Oryctolagus cuniculus: one gene and its partners. The main gene of each other region encodes a partner of the protein of the gene in region 2 in a complex. Links are inferred from orthologs where the notes say so. Each region holds a gene or a part of one and is shown on either strand. Other genes may lie near its edges. The genes, in order: GSK3B, AXIN1, SIAH1 and DVL2.

The links.
Region 1: the proteins of AXIN1 (region 2) and GSK3B are in contact, whole or in part, in a crystal structure (PDB 4B7T), measured with the Homo sapiens proteins. The link is inferred for Oryctolagus cuniculus from reciprocal best matches to the Homo sapiens genes AXIN1 and GSK3B. Residues at the interface, in NP_003493.1 of Homo sapiens: Glu384, Pro385, Gln386, Phe388, Ala389, Glu391, Leu392, Ile393, Arg395, Leu396, Glu397, Val399, Gln400; in NP_001139628.1 of Homo sapiens: Ile228, Phe229, Val263, Asp264, Leu266, Val267, Ile270, Lys271, Asn287, Tyr288, Phe291, Lys292, Phe293, Pro294, Gln295, Ile296.
Region 3: the proteins of AXIN1 (region 2) and SIAH1 are in contact, whole or in part, in a crystal structure (PDB 5WZZ), measured with the Homo sapiens proteins. The link is inferred for Oryctolagus cuniculus from reciprocal best matches to the Homo sapiens genes AXIN1 and SIAH1. Residues at the interface, in NP_003493.1 of Homo sapiens: Pro378, Lys379, Glu380, Val381, Arg382, Val383, Glu384, Pro385, Gln386, Lys387; in NP_003022.3 of Homo sapiens: Cys130, Pro131, Ser154, Thr156, Leu158, Asp162, Ile163, Val164, Phe165, Leu166, Ala167, Thr168, Asp169, Val176, Asp177, Trp178, Val179, Met180, Asn272.
Region 4: the proteins of AXIN1 (region 2) and DVL2 are in contact, whole or in part, in a crystal structure (PDB 6JCK), measured with the Homo sapiens proteins. The link is inferred for Oryctolagus cuniculus from reciprocal best matches to the Homo sapiens genes AXIN1 and DVL2. Residues at the interface, in NP_003493.1 of Homo sapiens: Arg821, Tyr823, Lys825, Lys826, Glu830, Phe831, Val835, Val836, Phe837, Glu838, Glu839, Lys857, Glu859, Asp862; in NP_004413.1 of Homo sapiens: Lys15, Ile17, Tyr18, Glu23, Glu24, Thr25, Pro26, Tyr27, Leu28, Val29, Val46, Leu47, Gln48, Arg49, Pro50, Phe81, Arg84.

The regions. Positions count from the first base shown.
Region 1 is NC_091435.1:76,548,014-76,552,035, forward strand, and holds the start of GSK3B (glycogen synthase kinase-3 beta), read right to left. Parts: upstream 2,808-4,022; 5' UTR 2,757-2,807; coding exon 2,669-2,756; intron 1-2,668. Other genes in the region: transcription factor SOX-4, read left to right, coding at 3,169-4,022. UniProt on the Homo sapiens protein: Constitutively active protein kinase that acts as a negative regulator in the hormonal control of glucose homeostasis, Wnt signaling and regulation of transcription factors and microtubules, by phosphorylating and inactivating glycogen synthase (GYS1 or GYS2), EIF2B, CTNNB1/beta-catenin, APC, AXIN1, DPYSL2/CRMP2, JUN, NFATC1/NFATC, MAPT/TAU and MACF1.
Region 2 is NC_091450.1:34,296,350-34,300,332, reverse strand, and holds the start of AXIN1 (axin-1), read right to left. Parts: upstream 2,811-3,983; 5' UTR 2,740-2,810; coding exon 1,862-2,739; intron 1-1,861. UniProt on the Homo sapiens protein: Component of the beta-catenin destruction complex required for regulating CTNNB1 levels through phosphorylation and ubiquitination, and modulating Wnt-signaling.
Region 3 is NC_091449.1:32,126,256-32,130,476, reverse strand, and holds the start of SIAH1 (E3 ubiquitin-protein ligase SIAH1), read left to right. Parts: upstream 1-1,414; 5' UTR 1,415-1,531; intron 1,532-2,111; exon of another isoform or gene 2,112-2,535; intron 2,536-4,221. UniProt on the Homo sapiens protein: E3 ubiquitin-protein ligase that mediates ubiquitination and subsequent proteasomal degradation of target proteins.
Region 4 is NC_091448.1:51,839,468-51,843,587, reverse strand, and holds the start of DVL2 (segment polarity protein dishevelled homolog DVL-2), read left to right. Parts: upstream 1-1,288; 5' UTR 1,289-1,509; coding exon 1,510-1,703; intron 1,704-3,761; coding exon 3,762-3,831; intron 3,832-4,120. Other genes in the region: PHF23 (PHD finger protein 23), read left to right, coding at 56-270.

The DNA of each region.
Region 1 (4,022 bases), on a different chromosome or scaffold from region 2:
CAGACTGAGTTCCAGCTCCTGCCTTAGGCCTGGTCCAGCCCTGGCTGTTGTGACCATTTGTGGAGTGAAGCAGCAGATGAGAAGATCTGTCTCTCTGCCTTTCCAATAAAATTAAAATAAATAAAGTTTATAAAAAAAAAAAACTGTTCAGAGCTCTCATGAATGTCAAACTTTTTCAGACCCCTTGCCCTCTGTCAGCTATCCTTCCAATATTTCTCAAATTTTACCTGTTATTTTCCTACTTAGGCTTTTATAATTCAGATTTACCAGCTTATTTATTGCCTCTCCTACAAAACTCACCATCTCTGTGCCTGGAGTCCTTTCACCTAGAATCTTTCATGCTTCTCCACCAATTCAAGACACAGCCTTCTTTAACACCTGTCTTAAAAGCACACCTTCTCTACAGGAAGCCTTCTCCCTCCAATGCATGTCTCACCCCTTTATTCTTTGTCCCTCTGAACAAAGGATTCAATTTGTATTTTGCCTTGCAGTCGTAATGCCATTGTTTTCATTGTTTTTCCCATAAATTGCCTCTACTACTAAGTGACCAGCTTTTTTTGAAGCCAAGGACTATAATTTCATATGTATCTCTTTTGAACATGGGTCCTGAAAACACCAGCACCTAACAAATGCCTAATGACTCCCCTTTCTTCTAAATATCCCTAAAGCTAGGCTTATCAAAAATGCATATTCAGCAATAAATTCCAACTTTTTAAATATTAAGTTGAAGGACATGATAACAGAAAATCAAACATTTTAACCTACATACTTTACAAAAATCACACCATTCTTGGTCAACATGTATGCCATCAAGAATTAAGGAGTCATCTTCAAAGAAAATCCTAGAAACAAAATATAAAATCCCAGAATTTAGCATTATACACTAGCATTATAGATCTCTGAAATACATCTAATAATTATATTCCTAAAACTGACTTTCAGTGTTTTTTAATTATTACCAAGATGTAAAACATACAATCACTGCAGTATCACAAGAGGCTCTTAATTAGCTATTGTAATATTTGCTTCATCATAGCTAAAAATTACCCCCAGAATAAAAAACTTCTTTCAAATGACCCCATGAAGGGCTTAGAAAGCATGACCCTTCTCTAAAAAGATGCATAATCAGCTTCCCTCTTTACATACTCTGCATTCTCTACTAGCTAGTCACTGAAAAAAAAATTAACTCAAAAATAATCTCCCATTCAGCTATTACCTTGGACTATCCTGTTTCAGGCAAGTTCCAAAAGCCAAAGTGATTGGAATCTTGAGTTCAATTAAAAGTAAACATTTTATATTGCTTAAGGATGTAATCAAGTCCACATAACAGAATCTACTGTTTAAGGCTCTTCAGTTCTCTTAGCTCCTCTAGGCAACAAAATAGTTTGCCCTCTTCATGCCCCTTTCTCAGAGAATAAGGAAACAATATAAACATTTTTTTTTGTCAAAATCTGGAAGTATATTTAAATAACCTGCCATTAATTGCCACACAAACCCCTTCACAAACAGAGCTCTGTGGGATCACTGGATACTTAGTATAACAAACACCTCAAGAAAACAGACTTTGTGAAAGTACAGTCTGGTAACAACCCTGAGACCACATCCCAGACAGCCCTACCATTTCCAGAAGGACAACCTTCTGCAAAAACTATGATGGAAAGGACTAAATCTATGTTCCTCTAACTAAATTCAATCTTATCTACAAGAAAACTGATGCAAGGATATTTTAAGTATTCCTAAAAAGGAATCCTCTGTACTCTAGAATATTTTAACAAGTAACAAATGCAACAGCACGTCAAAATTGAACTTAAATGACAATGAGTCAGTGACAATTAACATTTAACTTAGTATCTGGCATTATGACAACATACGCCTCAATCAAAACTTGGACCTCCTTCCAAGTTACCTTTTGATTAAACAAATTATATGGTGGCAGATTGGTAATGCCAAAACAGGAAGGTTAAGAGATAACAGATTAAACCACTTATCCAATTCAAGACAATGTATTTGGAGATGCTACTGCTGCTGGATATTTATCTGTTCCCATCAGCCCCTTGTAAAGGGAGGGAGCGATGATCACCTCCACACATGAATGCTGGTTACTGAGCAAGTTCATCCCCAGGTTAAGAACAAATACTTTGTATAGTTACACCAGCACGAAGAGAAACGTTAGGAGACTGGGACATTTCATGTCTCCATGAAGTACACAAAGCTGTGATAACCCGAGACTTGAGCTAACCAGAATTTCCTCCCTCGTTCCAAAAGACAAACACTCTGCAAATGCACATAATGGTTTATGAGTCGTTTAGTCCTCTTTATTCAAAAGGGTCGGCAAGCAAACGCTTCCATCACAATTTCCAAGTGGAAACACCCAAGCACTGGATAAAGGCGACCATCAGTAGCAAGGAAAGCACAAGAAACGTTTCAAATCGAATCATCGAAATAAAAATCGTACTCTCTGAACTCAAGGTTAATGAGACCGAGGGAGGGGGTTATGGGAGGAGAAAAGAGGGAGCTGCCTCATCCTCGACTGAAGACAGGTCTTGCTCTTTTCCATTAGCTCTGGTGAGTGTTCCATCAGGTCTAGTATGTTAAGGTTCTAGGACTTCGAGGTTGCTTATTTTAGGGGTGAGACGGAGAAGGGGTGTAAAATAAAATCAATACTCACTGCTAACTTTCATGCTGCCAAAAGCTGAAGGCTGCTGCACTGGCTTGCAGCTCTCCGCAAAGGAGGTGGTTCTGGGCCGCCCTGACATGATCACTCTCTTCCCGAATCACCTTTTCCTTCCTTCCTCCTTTTCTTCCTTTTGTTTTATATTGGGGTGTTAGGTTAATGATAAATGCAGCATTAAGTTCTCCCACAAGAAAGGAAAAAAAAAGACTTCGTCCTCTTGGCTTTTCACTTCTTTTGTATAGCTATATTAAAAAAAAAAAAAAAAAAAAAAAAAACACGAGCGATGTATTCTCCTTCAAGACGGATCCGTACGGATATTTAACATATAGATGATTTGGGGCTGGGGGAGGGGAAAAAAAAAACACAATTCTTTCCCCTCCCTTTCCTGGGAGGGGGGACTCCTTAAAAAAAATCACGTGAAATGGGGACAAATACTTGATTGAAAATAAGTACTTTGGATTTTATATTTTCCTCGGGGATTTTTTTCCGAGTCAATGAAGAAGGGAAGCGGCGGAAGGATCACGAGTCTCACGCTTGAAGAGAAGGGGGGATGGGAAGGAGGGAGGGAGAGGGAGGGGGCGGCTCGGAGATGCGACGGGAAACGCTGCGGCTCCGGCAGCGGCGGGATCCGGCGGGGGCCCGGCGTCCTGGAGGGCGGCGGCGTCGCGAGTCAGTCAGAGGCGGGCGGCGGCGGCGGCTCCTCTCCTCATTGCGCCAGGAGCAGCTGCAGGCGGCGGCTGGATCCAGCGGCCATGGCGGCGGCGGTGGCGGAGGCAGCTCCCTTCAGACCCCAGGCAGCGGCTCCTCGACTGCTCCCCATACGCCGGGGACATGGGAACCCGGCAACCGCTTCCGTCTCCCTCGGGGCCCCCTCCCCCGTCCAAAGCACCAGCGCGGCCGCCCTCACGCCCCGCGCCTCAGCTCCGTGTCCGCTGAGGAAGTGTCCGTGCTGTGCCCCCAGTCCGGAGCCCTGTCAGCGGCTGCGGGGCCGGCTCCTCCTCGCTTCCTTCCTTCCTTTGTCACTCGGCCCGGGCGGCGGCGGCGGCAGCGGCAGCGGCAGCACAAACCCGCATTCGCCCGGGTCGGGGGCTGCTCTGTGTGAGGAGCTCCGTCTGCGCAGCCGCCTAGCGCCTTCCCCCCTCCCCCTCCCTCTCCCCGCCTCCTACTCGTCCTCCGCCTCCTTCCTCCCCCACCCAGCCTTATACCGCCCCGCGCCCCGCCGCCCGCGTAACAGGCGTCTGGGAATCGCCGGCCGAGCCCAACGCCCGCCCTCTTCGGCGGCGGAGCCGAACCCCCAGCGAAGCCAATCACGGGCGTCGTTTCTTTACGGCTCCTCCCGGAAAAAGCC
Region 2 (3,983 bases):
GCACGGAACGTGGTCCACGTGCTTGGCCCCTGCACCCATGTGGGAGACCAGGATGAGACTCCCGGCTCCTGACTCAGCTCACCTAGTTCTGGTAGTTGTGGACACGTGAGGAGTGAACCAGCAGACGGAAGATCTCTCTCTCCCTCTCTATCTCTGACTTTCAAATAAATAAATCTTCAAAACAAAAAAAGTTTAAACCTTAGAAATGCTTAGTGCTGTTTTATCAGAAAGCAGCCGACTCCTCTGTCCCAGTGCAGAGAGGAGAGCTGGTCCAGTGCACGGCAACTGCACGGGCAGCCGCGACACTAAGGGGCGTGTCCTCCGAGTTCTGTCTAGATCAGCAGGGGCCACCCAAGCTCCAAGCTGTCAACGCTGCGCAGGTGCCAGCTCCTGGGGACAGGGGGGAAGCGCAAGAACTCTGCTCCCAGGAGGAACACACACCAGCAGCAGCCCAACGGCTCCCTGTAATCACGGAGGGTCACGGGAAAAAAGAAAAGCCGCGGTTCCAAAGCTCTAACACTGGGGACGCCCCAGGTGTCCACACAGGCGGGAACAGTCCAGACACCGCGGGTGCCCTCACCCATGGGAGAACACAGGCGGGAACAGTCCAGACACCGTGGGTGCCCTCACCCATGGGAGAACACAGGAGGGAACAGTCCAGACACCCGTGGGTGCCCTCACCCATGGGAGAACACAGGAGGGAACAGTCCAGAGACACCGTGGGTGCCCTCACCCATGGGAGAACACAGGCGGGGACAGTCCAGACACCGTGGGTGCCCTCACCCATGGGAGAACACAGGCGGGGACAGTCCAGACACCGTGGGTGCCCTCACCCATGGGAGAACACAGGCGGGGACAGTCCAGACACCGTGGGTGCCCTCACCCATGGGAGAACAGAGGCGGGAACAGTCCAGACACCGCGGGTGCCCTCACCCATGGGAGAACACAGGAGGGAACAGTCCAAAGACACCCGTGGGTGCCCTCACCCATGGGAGAACACAGGCGGGGACAGTCCAGAGACACCGTGGGTGCCCTCACCCATGGGAGAACACAGGCGGGGACAGTCCAGACACCGTGGGTGCCCTCACCCATGGGAGAACACAGGCGGGGACAGTCCAGACACCGTGGGTGCCCTCACCCATGGGAGAACACAGGCGGGGACAGTCCAGACACCGTGGGTGCCCTCACCCATGGGAGAACACAGGCGGGGACAGTCCAGACACCCGTGGGTGCCCTCACCCATGGGAGAACACAGGCGGGAACAGTCCAGACACCGTGGGTGCCCTCACCCATGGGAGAACAGCCAAGGTCACCCCCTGGGTACTGTGAACTCTGCGCCTCCCAGCAGCACTGCCATGTCAGGCAGGCAGAGATCTGACCCTGCGGCTCCAGCCACAGCTGCAGAAGTCTTCAGAGGACCTGGCAACCCCCCACACAAAGGTCTCAGCACTGTTCCTGGCCTCTAGGGAGCACCTCAGCACGCCACTATCGCGGGGAATGATCCAGAATTCCCCAGCTACCAGTGCATTCAGACGGCCACTCCTCCCTTTACCAAGCCGAAGCACGAGACCCACCCGGTAAGCCCCCAGGACTTCAGAGCGGTGGGTCTCAGTGCAGGTGTCAGCAGTAGTGCTCACGACCTCCACACCCAGGCTTCTTATCTGTTCTTGATCAAGGCGTTCTGGACAACACGACCATAAAAACCGCTACTGAACGTGCAAGTACCACGCGTCAGAATCAGAGTCCTAAGTCAGCCCCAAGGGCAGCCGGGCACTCAGCCCACTGGTCGCCCACACCTTGCCCTTGCCCGCTCTCCAGGTCTCAGGCGAGGACCGAAAAGGGACACCTGGTGCCCACTCACCTGAACTCTCTGCCTTCGCTGTACCGTCTCCCTGAGGAGGCCCTCGGGGCAGCCGTCTCCATGAGCAGCTTCTGGGTGAGCCTGCTGGGAGGCGCCGCGTCCCGCGCTTCCTCCTCGTCCGTGTCCTGGTCACACTTCCACTCCTCGTCTTCATTCAGAGTGGGCAGGTATCCAGACAGGCCCTTCCCTGTGCCTGACCCAGAGCTCTGGTCACTACAGACCTTTGGGCTCTCCGAGCCTGTCCTCGTGTACTCCAAATAAATGTCAGACTTGAGGAAGGAGGGGTAGGTGTTCTCCTCCATGGTGGCCTGGATCTCCGTCTGGGCCTGGTCGAACATGGCGGGGTCGACCTGCTGCCTCACGATGCAGTCCTTGATGAAGCTCTTGGTGGCCGGCTTGGTGTGCCTGGACACGATGCCAGTGCTGTCCAGGATGTACTTGCGGTAGATGGCTCTAGCCAGCTTCAGCCTCTTCTCCTCATTCGCATCGCAGGGCTCCAGCTTCCTGAAGCCACTGCAGGCAAACCAGAAGTCCAGAAGGTCAGCACAGCCCTCCTGCTTGAGGAAAGTCCTGAACAGGCTGATCCCGTCTTGATCGTCCAGCAGGGAGTGCAGGGACTCGGCCCACTTCAAGTATGGCGGCGTGGGAGACGCACTGCCCTCGGGCTCATACCCCAGGTCCAGATCCGAGCGCCTTGGAGTAGCCGTCGAAGTCTCAGCTTTAACGCCAGCAGCTTTGCCGGAGCAGAAGCTGTGGCTGGCGGGCCTCGGGTCTGTGGACACCAGTTCTCCCTCCTCCCCAGGCACCGGGGGCCGGGGGGCATCTTCGGTGAAACTTGCTCCGAGGTCCAGGGGGAAACCCTGCTCCTGGACGCTCATCGTGGGACTCTGTGCGGCAAGCGACAGCGAGCGCCGCCCCCTAAAGCATCCGTGCTCGCAGCTCGCGGTGAGTCAGGCCGTCCTGCGGGAACCAGAGAGGACGCGGGTTAGGAAAAGGTGGGCCCCCGCACACACGGCCGAGGGGCTCCCTCCAGACGAGACTGGCGATGACCCAAAGCCAGAAAGTCCGTGTACAGTTGAAACGGAGACACATTTTGGCCGCAAGGTTTGCTCCACATCAAAACAATCCCTGCAGACTCCTACAACCACAGGAACGCTTCTCATGCCAAGGGAGCACCCAGAGCACAGAGAACGCACTGCCTCCAGCAGCACTCTGAGCACCGCAGAGGCCCTCCGAGCGGGCCGAAGAGCTGAGTGAGCAGGAGGGCAGGAAGGCCGGTGGGGGGGGGGGGGGGGCTTTCAGGTGAGAGCTGGTCCCTCACACACCCGGGACAGTCACCCCAGTCAGACGACACGCAGATGAGAGGGGGAGCCCCGACACCCACTGCGGGGAGGCCGCTCTGGCTCCCACACCGGCCAGGCCCACAGCCAGGGTTCCTGCCTCCTGTTTCACCTCACACACGGGGGCCGTGCAGCACGTGCGAACAGACCGCAGGAGCAGCCGACCGGGGGTCACCTTCAGCACCACGAACCCGGGGATGGAAAACACCCCCCACGCACAGAGCAGCCTTCCCCACGCGGCCTCTCTCCTAAAAGACGCACTCAAGAGGCAGAGGGACAAGCAGGCAGAGGGCTCCCCTCTGCTGATTCACTCCTCAAACGCCCACAACGGCGGGGCCGGGGCCGGGGCCCGGCTGAAGCCAGAAGCTGGGGATTCAATCCAGTCTCCCACATGGACGGAAGGACACAACCTGGCACAACACTTGCTACCTCCCAGCGTCTGCGAAGACAGGAAGCTGGAATCAGAACTGGAGCTGGGAACAAGCAGACGCTCTGACACAGGACACCAGGCCATGTCTGCCCAGGAAATGCCCTCCTGACAGCAAACGGTACCCAGGGACCTCCGGGACAGAAACGATTTAGAAAAAAATGAAAGGCAAATGCAACTGCACTGCTAAGGAACCATGCAACTCACAGGACAACTCTAGAGCAACACCAAGCACTCAGCCCCTTGGAGGCCGGGGAACTGCGAGTTTTGGGTGCTGCGCCCACAAGGGACACGCAGACTTTGCTAGATCATGACACAGTCAGGACTCTGCCACGGTCTCTGGCCCTTCCTGCCA
Region 3 (4,221 bases), on a different chromosome or scaffold from region 2:
GGCTTCTTTTGCAATGCCTTTTTTCCTAGCTGAAGTGAGACATTTATGAGATTTATCGATGTTGGTGCCTCCCCAGATTGTATATAGCCCATGAATGGGGGAGGGGCCGCTGTGTTCTCAGAACCTAGCATGGTGCCTGGTATTTGGTAGAATGAATGAATGAGAGCAAAACAGGCCACCCCACTTGGTGACAGAACATCTCCGAGCAGATGAAAGCAGCGACCAGTAACTGCTTGGAGGGACCGGACTCACCCACCTGGACCCCTGACTTGCCGGCTTTGGGGACCAGCTCCCTCAAGAAACGCTGTGTGGGTGTTATGTGCTCCTGGTCCCAGAGGGAGCGAGCAGCCAGTCAGCGCAATACTGGGCGGGGAACACGAGCAGAACTCAGCACAGGTGCAGGCCACACGTTGGTGCAGGGCACTGGAGTTCGCGTGCCTTTGGCTGGGCAGCGCTGGCACGGAAACCCGCCCCCGAGAGAGGCTTGCCCCGACGATGGCGACCGTGGGCCAGTCCCTGGCGCCTCAAACCCCGCACGAAAAGTCCCGTTTCCTACAGACTTCGCACGGAGAGCCAATCGGGATTTGTACACGTTTCAGACTTATTGCACCCACCAGAGCCTTGCAAATGACGCTTTCCTTACTGCTTTATGTGAGGAGGAGGAGGAATGCAGAGGCCCCCACAGGGGACTTCGCCGCTGCGTGAGAACGCCTCCGCTGAGACACGGAAGGGCGGCCCACACCCAGGGCCAAGGCGTGGACCTCGTCCCCTGGAGGGTGGGGTCCCGGCGGGTGGCCGTATGCTTTCCCCGTGGAGGCGCTGCGCGAAACCCGCACACAAAACAGAAGGAGCCATAAATAGCAGCAGGCAGCCCTGCCAGGGGCGGCAGCCAGCCCCGGGCTAGCATTCCGGCGGGGCGCGGGACGACCCCTCGGGCCCTGGAACAAAGCCCCGCGGGGGTGGGCGCGGAACGGGTGCCCCGCACCAGCCGCCCGTGAGCCCGTCTTTCGCCCGGCCGGTGGCGGCGGAGAGCGTGACGCGACGGGGCGTGTGTCGGGCGTTCAGCGCGCAGCTCAGCGCTGGTAACGGAGGAGCCGCGGCGCCGGCTGCCACCCCGCGAGCCCTGCACGCCGAGGCCCGCGCGCGCAGCTGCCGGTCGCGCCGGCGCCTCTGCGCCTGCGCGCCCGCGGAAGCCCCGCCCCCTCCGGGCTCCCAGCGCGCGGGGCCGCGCCTCCTCATGGCGGCCGCCGCAGTGTGTGGTATTTAGCGGGGGCGCGCGGCGCGCTCGAGGACGCGCGAAACGGCGGCGGCGGCGGCGGCCAGGGGGGGAGCCGGGGCGGCCGTTGCGGGGCGCGCTCTCGAGCGGTGGCGGCGGTGGCGGCGGCGGCGGCGGCGGCGGCGGCGGCGGCCCAGGGTGTCCGGTGTGTCTCGGCGCTGGGAAGAGACGGTGGCGCTGCCCGCGGTGGCGGGGGTTGGCGACGGAGCGCGTTTGAGCCAGGACTGGGGTCCGAGGCGCGCTCTCCGCCCACAGGTAAGTGGGGCCCGGCCTGGAGGGAGGAGCCGGCGGCGAGGGGCTCTCCGGGAGGAGGGTTCCCGGGCCCGATAATGGCGGCGGGCGGCGGGGCCGGGGTGCGGGCGGCCCCCGGCGCCGCGGCGTCTTTGTCTCGGCCGGAGCCGGGCCGCTGGGCCGAGCGCCGCCCCCCGCCCCTCCCCTGCCCGCCGTCGCCGCGGCCGCGGCCGCCGCGCCGAGCCGGCTCCCCCCGCCCCCGGCGCCCGGGCCGTCCCGGTGGGGCCGCGGCGGGGGTCGGTCCGGGGGAGGCGCCCCGGCTGGGCCCCCGCGCGCCGGGGAGGCGGGCCCGGCCGGGGGAGGCGCCCGGCGCGCCCAGCGCCCTCGTGCCGGCCTTTGTTGTGGAGGGTCCCGGGGTGTGCGGCCAACATGGCGGAGGTCAGCTGAGTGCGGGCAGCGGCCAGCCCTGCCCTCCGGCCCCTCCCCGCGGCGCGCCGGGCCGCTCGGCCGTCCTTGGCCTCGGCTCGGTGCGCCCGACCCCGGCGGGAGCCGTCGCCGATGGTTCTGCGCGCTTCCTCTGGCTCTGGCCCGAGGCTTCGTCGTGCAGTGGGAAGAATGCAGCCTCCTCCCTTGTTTACGTCGTTGGAGAGGGGAGCGCCCGGCCAGCCGGCCGGGGCAGCGCCAGCTTTTCAGTGCAGACCTTGTTTTCCCTCGGCTTCACGTGCTGCGTAGTTGCAGGTCCCTCCTTGACTCTGCCGGGCTTATAACTTAGGGAAGCGGGTACCCGGCCACAGCGATGCATAGGTTTTTTCTTTGCCGCCTGCCCGCTCCTGGAAGAATGTGTTTGCGCTGACATTCGGAAAAGTCCAGCTGGCGTGCTGGGAAAATCAGATTGAGTGGTTGATGGTTGTAGTCACAGAAGGCGTGCACATGGATGTAGGACCGTGGTCTGCCTGTTTCCGGCAGTCGAACCTTGACCATTGCGTGATAAGCGGCTGTCAAGAGTACATTCTTAACTCTTCTCCGCAGTTGAGTGTCTGGGATACAGACTTTGTAGTCCGACTCTGCCTGCTTGGGTTCCAGTCGTGCTCCACCGGTTTCTGACCTTGGGCGATATGCCTAATCCCTCAGTGCTACTTTTTTCTTACCTGCAACTGGGAGTCATGACAGCGCTTACCTGGGGCATGTGTTGAGAGTTGTTGGGAGAGGGTACCTGGTGGGGTGATCCTTAGCTGAGCACTTAGTGTGGTGGCAGGTCCATAGCAAGGGCTCTGCACACACTCACCGCTAAGGTTTAATAACAAACAAGGTTATCTTGGCAGCGTGGATGTGTTGGAAGTGCCTTGACCGGAGTTGGGGATTCATGCTATAACTCATCAGCGCTTGGGTTTTTCTTCTGCTGTATTTCGCTGTCAAAAAGGAAAAGAAGAGGTTTAGATGGTAAATTGACAGGCCCTCTGGGACTTGACGTTTTGGGAATTTCTATGCTAAGGCATTTTGAACGACTAGATCTTTTGTGGTCTGCGATTTAACCAAGTGGATCAAAATGTGATTTCCACTGGGCAATTTTCGATTTAAGGATTGATTTACTTTCAAGGGCTTGAGTTAACTGACTTGGCAAACTGGGGCACCGAGTTCCTTTAACTGAGTGTTAGGTGTCTGTGGTGTCACCATCTCTTTTAGAAGTTACTGAGGAGCACAGTGCAATTCGGTGACACATGTAACGGTCCGGTAGCCTCATCAGGGAGATTCTGCTTCCGGGTCCGATGGAGAGGACTGCCGATAGCGCTGAGAGAACTCTGATGGATGCCCAGACTGAGTGCACGCCCAGATTGCTTGTGTTAGGTTTTCATGGAAAATGTAAACAGAGAGACTTTGGTATCGAGAAAGGTTATTTTTTCCTCAAAGTATACTTTGTCAAAATTTTTTTCTTTATGTGTATCATAAGATTACATTAAATGATCCTTTTTGGCACATTTCCAGCACAATTCAGTAACATTTAATAATTCTTTAAACAGAAATAGAGTGTAATTAAAGATAAAAACTATTTTTCTTAAGATTTATTTATTTGAAAGGCAGAGTTTCAGAGAGGAGAGACGGAGAGAGAGGTCTTCCATCCCCAGGTCTGCTCCCCAGATGGCTGCAACAGCTGGGGCAGGACTTAGCCAAAGCCAGGAGTCAGGAGCTTGCTCAAGGTCTTCCATGTGGGTGCAAGGGCCCAAGCACTTGGGCCATCTTCCACTGTTTTCCCAGGCTCATTAGCAGGGAGCTGGATCCGAATTGGAGCAGACAGGACACAAACTAATGCTCATAGGGCTGCTTAACCTTTTATGCCACAATGCTGGCCCTGTATTTTTAAAGCTAAGTGTCTCATGGGGGCTGGCGCTGTGGTACAGCAGGTTAACGCCCTGGCCTGAAGCGCTGGCATCCCATATGGGCGCTGGTTCTAGTCCCAGCTGCTCCTCTTCTGATCCAGCTCTCTGCTATGGCCTGGGAAAGCAGTAGAAGATGGCCCAAGTGCTTGGGCCCCTGCACCCACGTGGGAGACCTGGAAGAAGTTCCTGCCTCCTGGCTTTGGATCAGCTCAGCTCTGGCCGTTGTGGCCAACTGGGGGGTGAACCAGCGGGTGGAAGACCTCTCTCTACCTCTCTCTGTAACTCTTTCAAATAACTAAAATAAATCTTAAAAAAAAAGCTAAGTGTCTCCAAAGTAAA
Region 4 (4,120 bases), on a different chromosome or scaffold from region 2:
GGGTGTTTGGATCCAAGAGCACAGGCAGGACATCCAGCAAACCTTCTTTCCCCAGGTGATGACTCATGGGACCTGATCACGTGTTACTGCCGGAAGCCCTTCGCAGGGCGGCCCATGATCGAGTGCAGCCTATGTGGGACGTGGATCCACCTCTCCTGTGCTAAGATTAAGAAGACCAATGTCCCTGACTTCTTTTATTGCCAGAAATGCAAGGAACTGCGGCCTGAGGCGCGGCGGTTAGGGGGGCTTCCCAAATCTGGAGAGCCCTGACACTGCCAACTCCAGGCTGGAACTGGCAAGTGACGATTCGGGAACTGAGCCTCGGGGGCTTCAGCCCATCCCCTGGAGTCTGGATGTGGTCCCCGCTTCAAGGCAGGAACGCCCAAGGCAGACTTCGGAAATGAGTCTCACGGTCCCTCCCTCCCCTCCCTCCCCAGCCTGTGGACTGGAGTGGACGTTGCGTTGGGCGTGGGAGGCTGTCGGGGGCCCCGGATGCAGCATCTTGGACCTGCCAGGGTTGGAATTGGGATGGACTGGGACAGCTGTCTATAAACTCTAGTGTAAATATAGCATTCCCCTCCCTCATCTTTTATTTTACTCCCAATTTATTTTCTTCTACACCGGTTGTATTTTTAATGTTGGACTTCCTCTTTCGAGCGTGGCGGCTCAGAGGTGGAGTGAGCCTGGCCAAGCGAGCAAGGAGAGCGGCAAGGTGACGGTCCTCACGCACCTCTTGTTTTTACTACTGGCCAGCCGTTTGTACAGACAGCCTGCGTGTTGTAAATAAAGCAGAGTGGGCTCTTTGTGTTTCTAGCCCTCCCTGACTGTCCTGCTTGGGGGGAGGCTCTGGGGGAGCTGGCCGCAGGGCACAAACCCACCTCGGCGTCCGGGCCTTCCCGCGCCGGGACACAACCCCAGGGGCTCCGTCGGCTTCTTCCCTCCACGCGCGCCCGCGGTCCCGCTGCTCCTGCACGGACGGTCGTGCGCAGTCGCTTCGCGTTCCCGCCCGGACGGCGCAGGGCGCCCCCCACCCCGAAGACGGAGGTCCCCAGGACACGGTGCCAGCCGGGAGGACCTCCGGTGGGGGATACGCTCGGGGGCGGAGTGGGTCGGGGCTGGGAGACCGTTGCTGAAGGCAGCGGTCACGTGGAGGGAGCGCTGGGAGGAGCCGAGTAGTCACGTGATGGCGGAGGGGTCACGTGGCGAAGGGCGGTGCAGGGAGCGCGAGGTGGGCGGGCTCGGGCCACGTGACATGAGGCGAGGTGGGCGGGGCCCTGGAGGGCGCTCGCGACGTCGGCGGCGGTGGCGCGCGGCGGCTGAGTGCGCCGCTCCGGGGCGCGTCGCGCGGCCCGCCACCCTGCCGCACCCCGCCGCCTCCCCGCTGCCCCACGCCCACACTGGCTCTGTCGCGTCCGCGCTCCGGTCGGGGTTCGAGTGTGCGCAGGCGCGGCGGGCCGCAGATAGCCCCACTGGGTGGGCGGCGGAGCCCGGGAGCGCGCGGGCGAGACCATGGCGGGCAGCAGCACGGGGGGCGGAGGCGTCGGGGAGACGAAGGTGATTTACCACCTGGATGAGGAGGAGACTCCCTACCTGGTGAAGATCCCAGTCCCCGCCGAGCGCATCACCCTTGGAGACTTCAAGAGCGTTCTGCAGCGGCCCGCGGGTGCTAAGTACTTTTTCAAGTCCATGGATCAGGATTTCGGGTGAGCGCGAGGCCTAGCCTGGGACTGACGGGGGCTGTACCCGCACGGATGGGGCGTTCTGCAGGGGGCACGGGTCTGCTCTGGGTTACACGGGTTTTCTGGCCTTCAGTGGATCGGATTGTGCCACACTGAGGCAGAGTGGCCGTCCCAGGACGGACAAGGTTATGCCTGGACAGATGGATGCACACGGAGCGATAAAGTGGAGAAGATTGGGCCATATGGAATAGGTGGGGGCGCGCAGGTTGGTTTTGGGGTGGTCGGGACTGAGCGTTTTCCTGTAGCACACAGCTTGTGTGGAGACAGCCTGCAGTCTCTTGACATAGCCGGGCTTGTGTTGGCGGCAGTTGGAACGTTGTGGCAGAGACAGGATTGTTTGGGGACTCCATGGAGTGTATGCATGCTAATGCAAAAAAAAAAAAAAAAAAAAAGTTGCGGTGTTCTAGGCTGCCTTGGAGTGGGCTACTGGACGGGCTGGGGTCATTCTGGTCTCTTGGTTGATCCTAACCTAATAACTCTTCTTCGGCACGCATCGGGGCACTTAGTACAGGGCAGATAAGGCTGTTGGGGCTTTTGCTAATACAGACAGCTGTATTGGGATAGTCTAGTCTATATTGGTGCAGACAGCTGCATGCAGGGACGTTGTAGGCTGTGCTAGAATAGATTGGGCTATCCTGGGGTAATTTGGGGATTCCTGGACTTGACTGGGACTGTAAATAACATATTCGAAGCCCTTTTGTTTTTCTCACTTTGGGGAATGACCACTCTTGTTTTGACTGCTCAGTTGTTTCACTGGCTGGCTAGATTGTGTTGATGGCTTGGATTTTAGGGGGACGGAACAAACTGGACTCTGCCTAAAAAGGTCGTTCAGCGTGGGGAGAGTGACAGTTGTCTTGGGAGTTATCTTGGGCTTAAATCAAAGCTCTTGGATTGGTCAGCAGTGTAATCTTGGGCAATTTCATTTACCTTTGTGCGTTGATTTTTCTCACATTTGAGATAATCACAGAGTGAAATGCTTAGTTCCCGCGCTTGGCACATGGGAAACTCTTGGGGCGTGGTCATCGTTGTCCTTGGCATTGAGGCCCACAGGTCCACAAACTCGGTTGTGGTGATACAGAATAGCCTGCCGTGGAGTGGGTTGAGCTGTGCCAAGATGGGTTATATTGGGAGAACACTAATTACACTGAAACAGATTGGTAGTGGCTGGGCCCTGTTGTCACATAACTAGCAAATGGATTCAGTTGGTGTATATACACACTCCCAGAGGCATATTAGGCTAAAGGGTTAATCAGACAAGATGTTCTGATTTGGGGAGGGGAGAGGGTGTGTTTGTGAGACAGAGGAGAAACCAGAGAATCTATTGGTTTGTGTGTTTTGTTTGTTTAGTCAACAAGTGTTAATGCTGCGTGGTCAGGGCGTGGTGTACAACAGAATGGGTGCTGCTGATTGCAAGGGGTGGTTGAGAAGAAAGGGGGGCAAGTCCAGTCCACTACAGGGAACACAGGGGAGCTGGTGGGGCTTTGGGGTCTTGAGACCCAGCATGTTGTTGAGAGCAGAGTTCTTCCAGGGGAGGCACAGGGGAACGGGAAGCCTGGCTTCCTCTCTTCTTCCCAGCTCTCAGCCTAAGGAGATGCTGTTGGTTCCTCTAATGGGCTTTTGTCCCCTGACAAAGACAGCACATCTGGACCACTCTCTGGAAGTGGATTAGAAAAAACTAAAGGGAAGTGGGAGAGTAGAAGCTTGTATGAGGTTGGGGAAGGTGTGTACGGAACAGGGCTGGGTTTGGGGACGGCTACCAGCAAGGCTCACTGGCAACCAGGTAACCACAGGGGTTGGCCTTCCAGTCATGCTGCAGGAAGTCTTTGGAGCAGCATTGCCCCTGAGGGCCAGCTGGGGCGAGCAGGCGAAACGTGGTGGGAGTGGGGTTTGGAGGTTGTTTCCCTAGGAGAGAGGGGGAACGAGGCAGGGGGTGGCCGGCATCCTTGAGCTGGGTGAAGACGGAGAAGCTGGCGGCGGGGGTGGCTGACCCAGCCTCGCTGACCTCGTCCTGTCTCCCGGCAGGGTGGTGAAGGAAGAAATTTCAGATGACAATGCCCGCCTGCCCTGCTTCAACGGAAGGGTGGTATCCTGGGTAAGGGCCCATTCCCTCTGGGTTCCCAGGCTGCTCCCAGCCTCATCTGTCTGTAGCCTCTCCCTGCCCAGTCATTGCCCTGGCCCTTTGCCTCCCTCCCTGTTTGGAGAGCCAGTGGGAGCTCCTCGGCTTTCTTCTGGAGCCTCTGCCATGAGGGGGCTTCAAAAACGTTCATGGGAAATGCATAGTATGAGAAAAGGATGCGTGGGCTTCAAAACAGGGTGCGTGGGCATGCGTCAAAATAAAGTTATTATTACTTTTTTTTTTTTTTTTTTTTGACAGAGTGGGC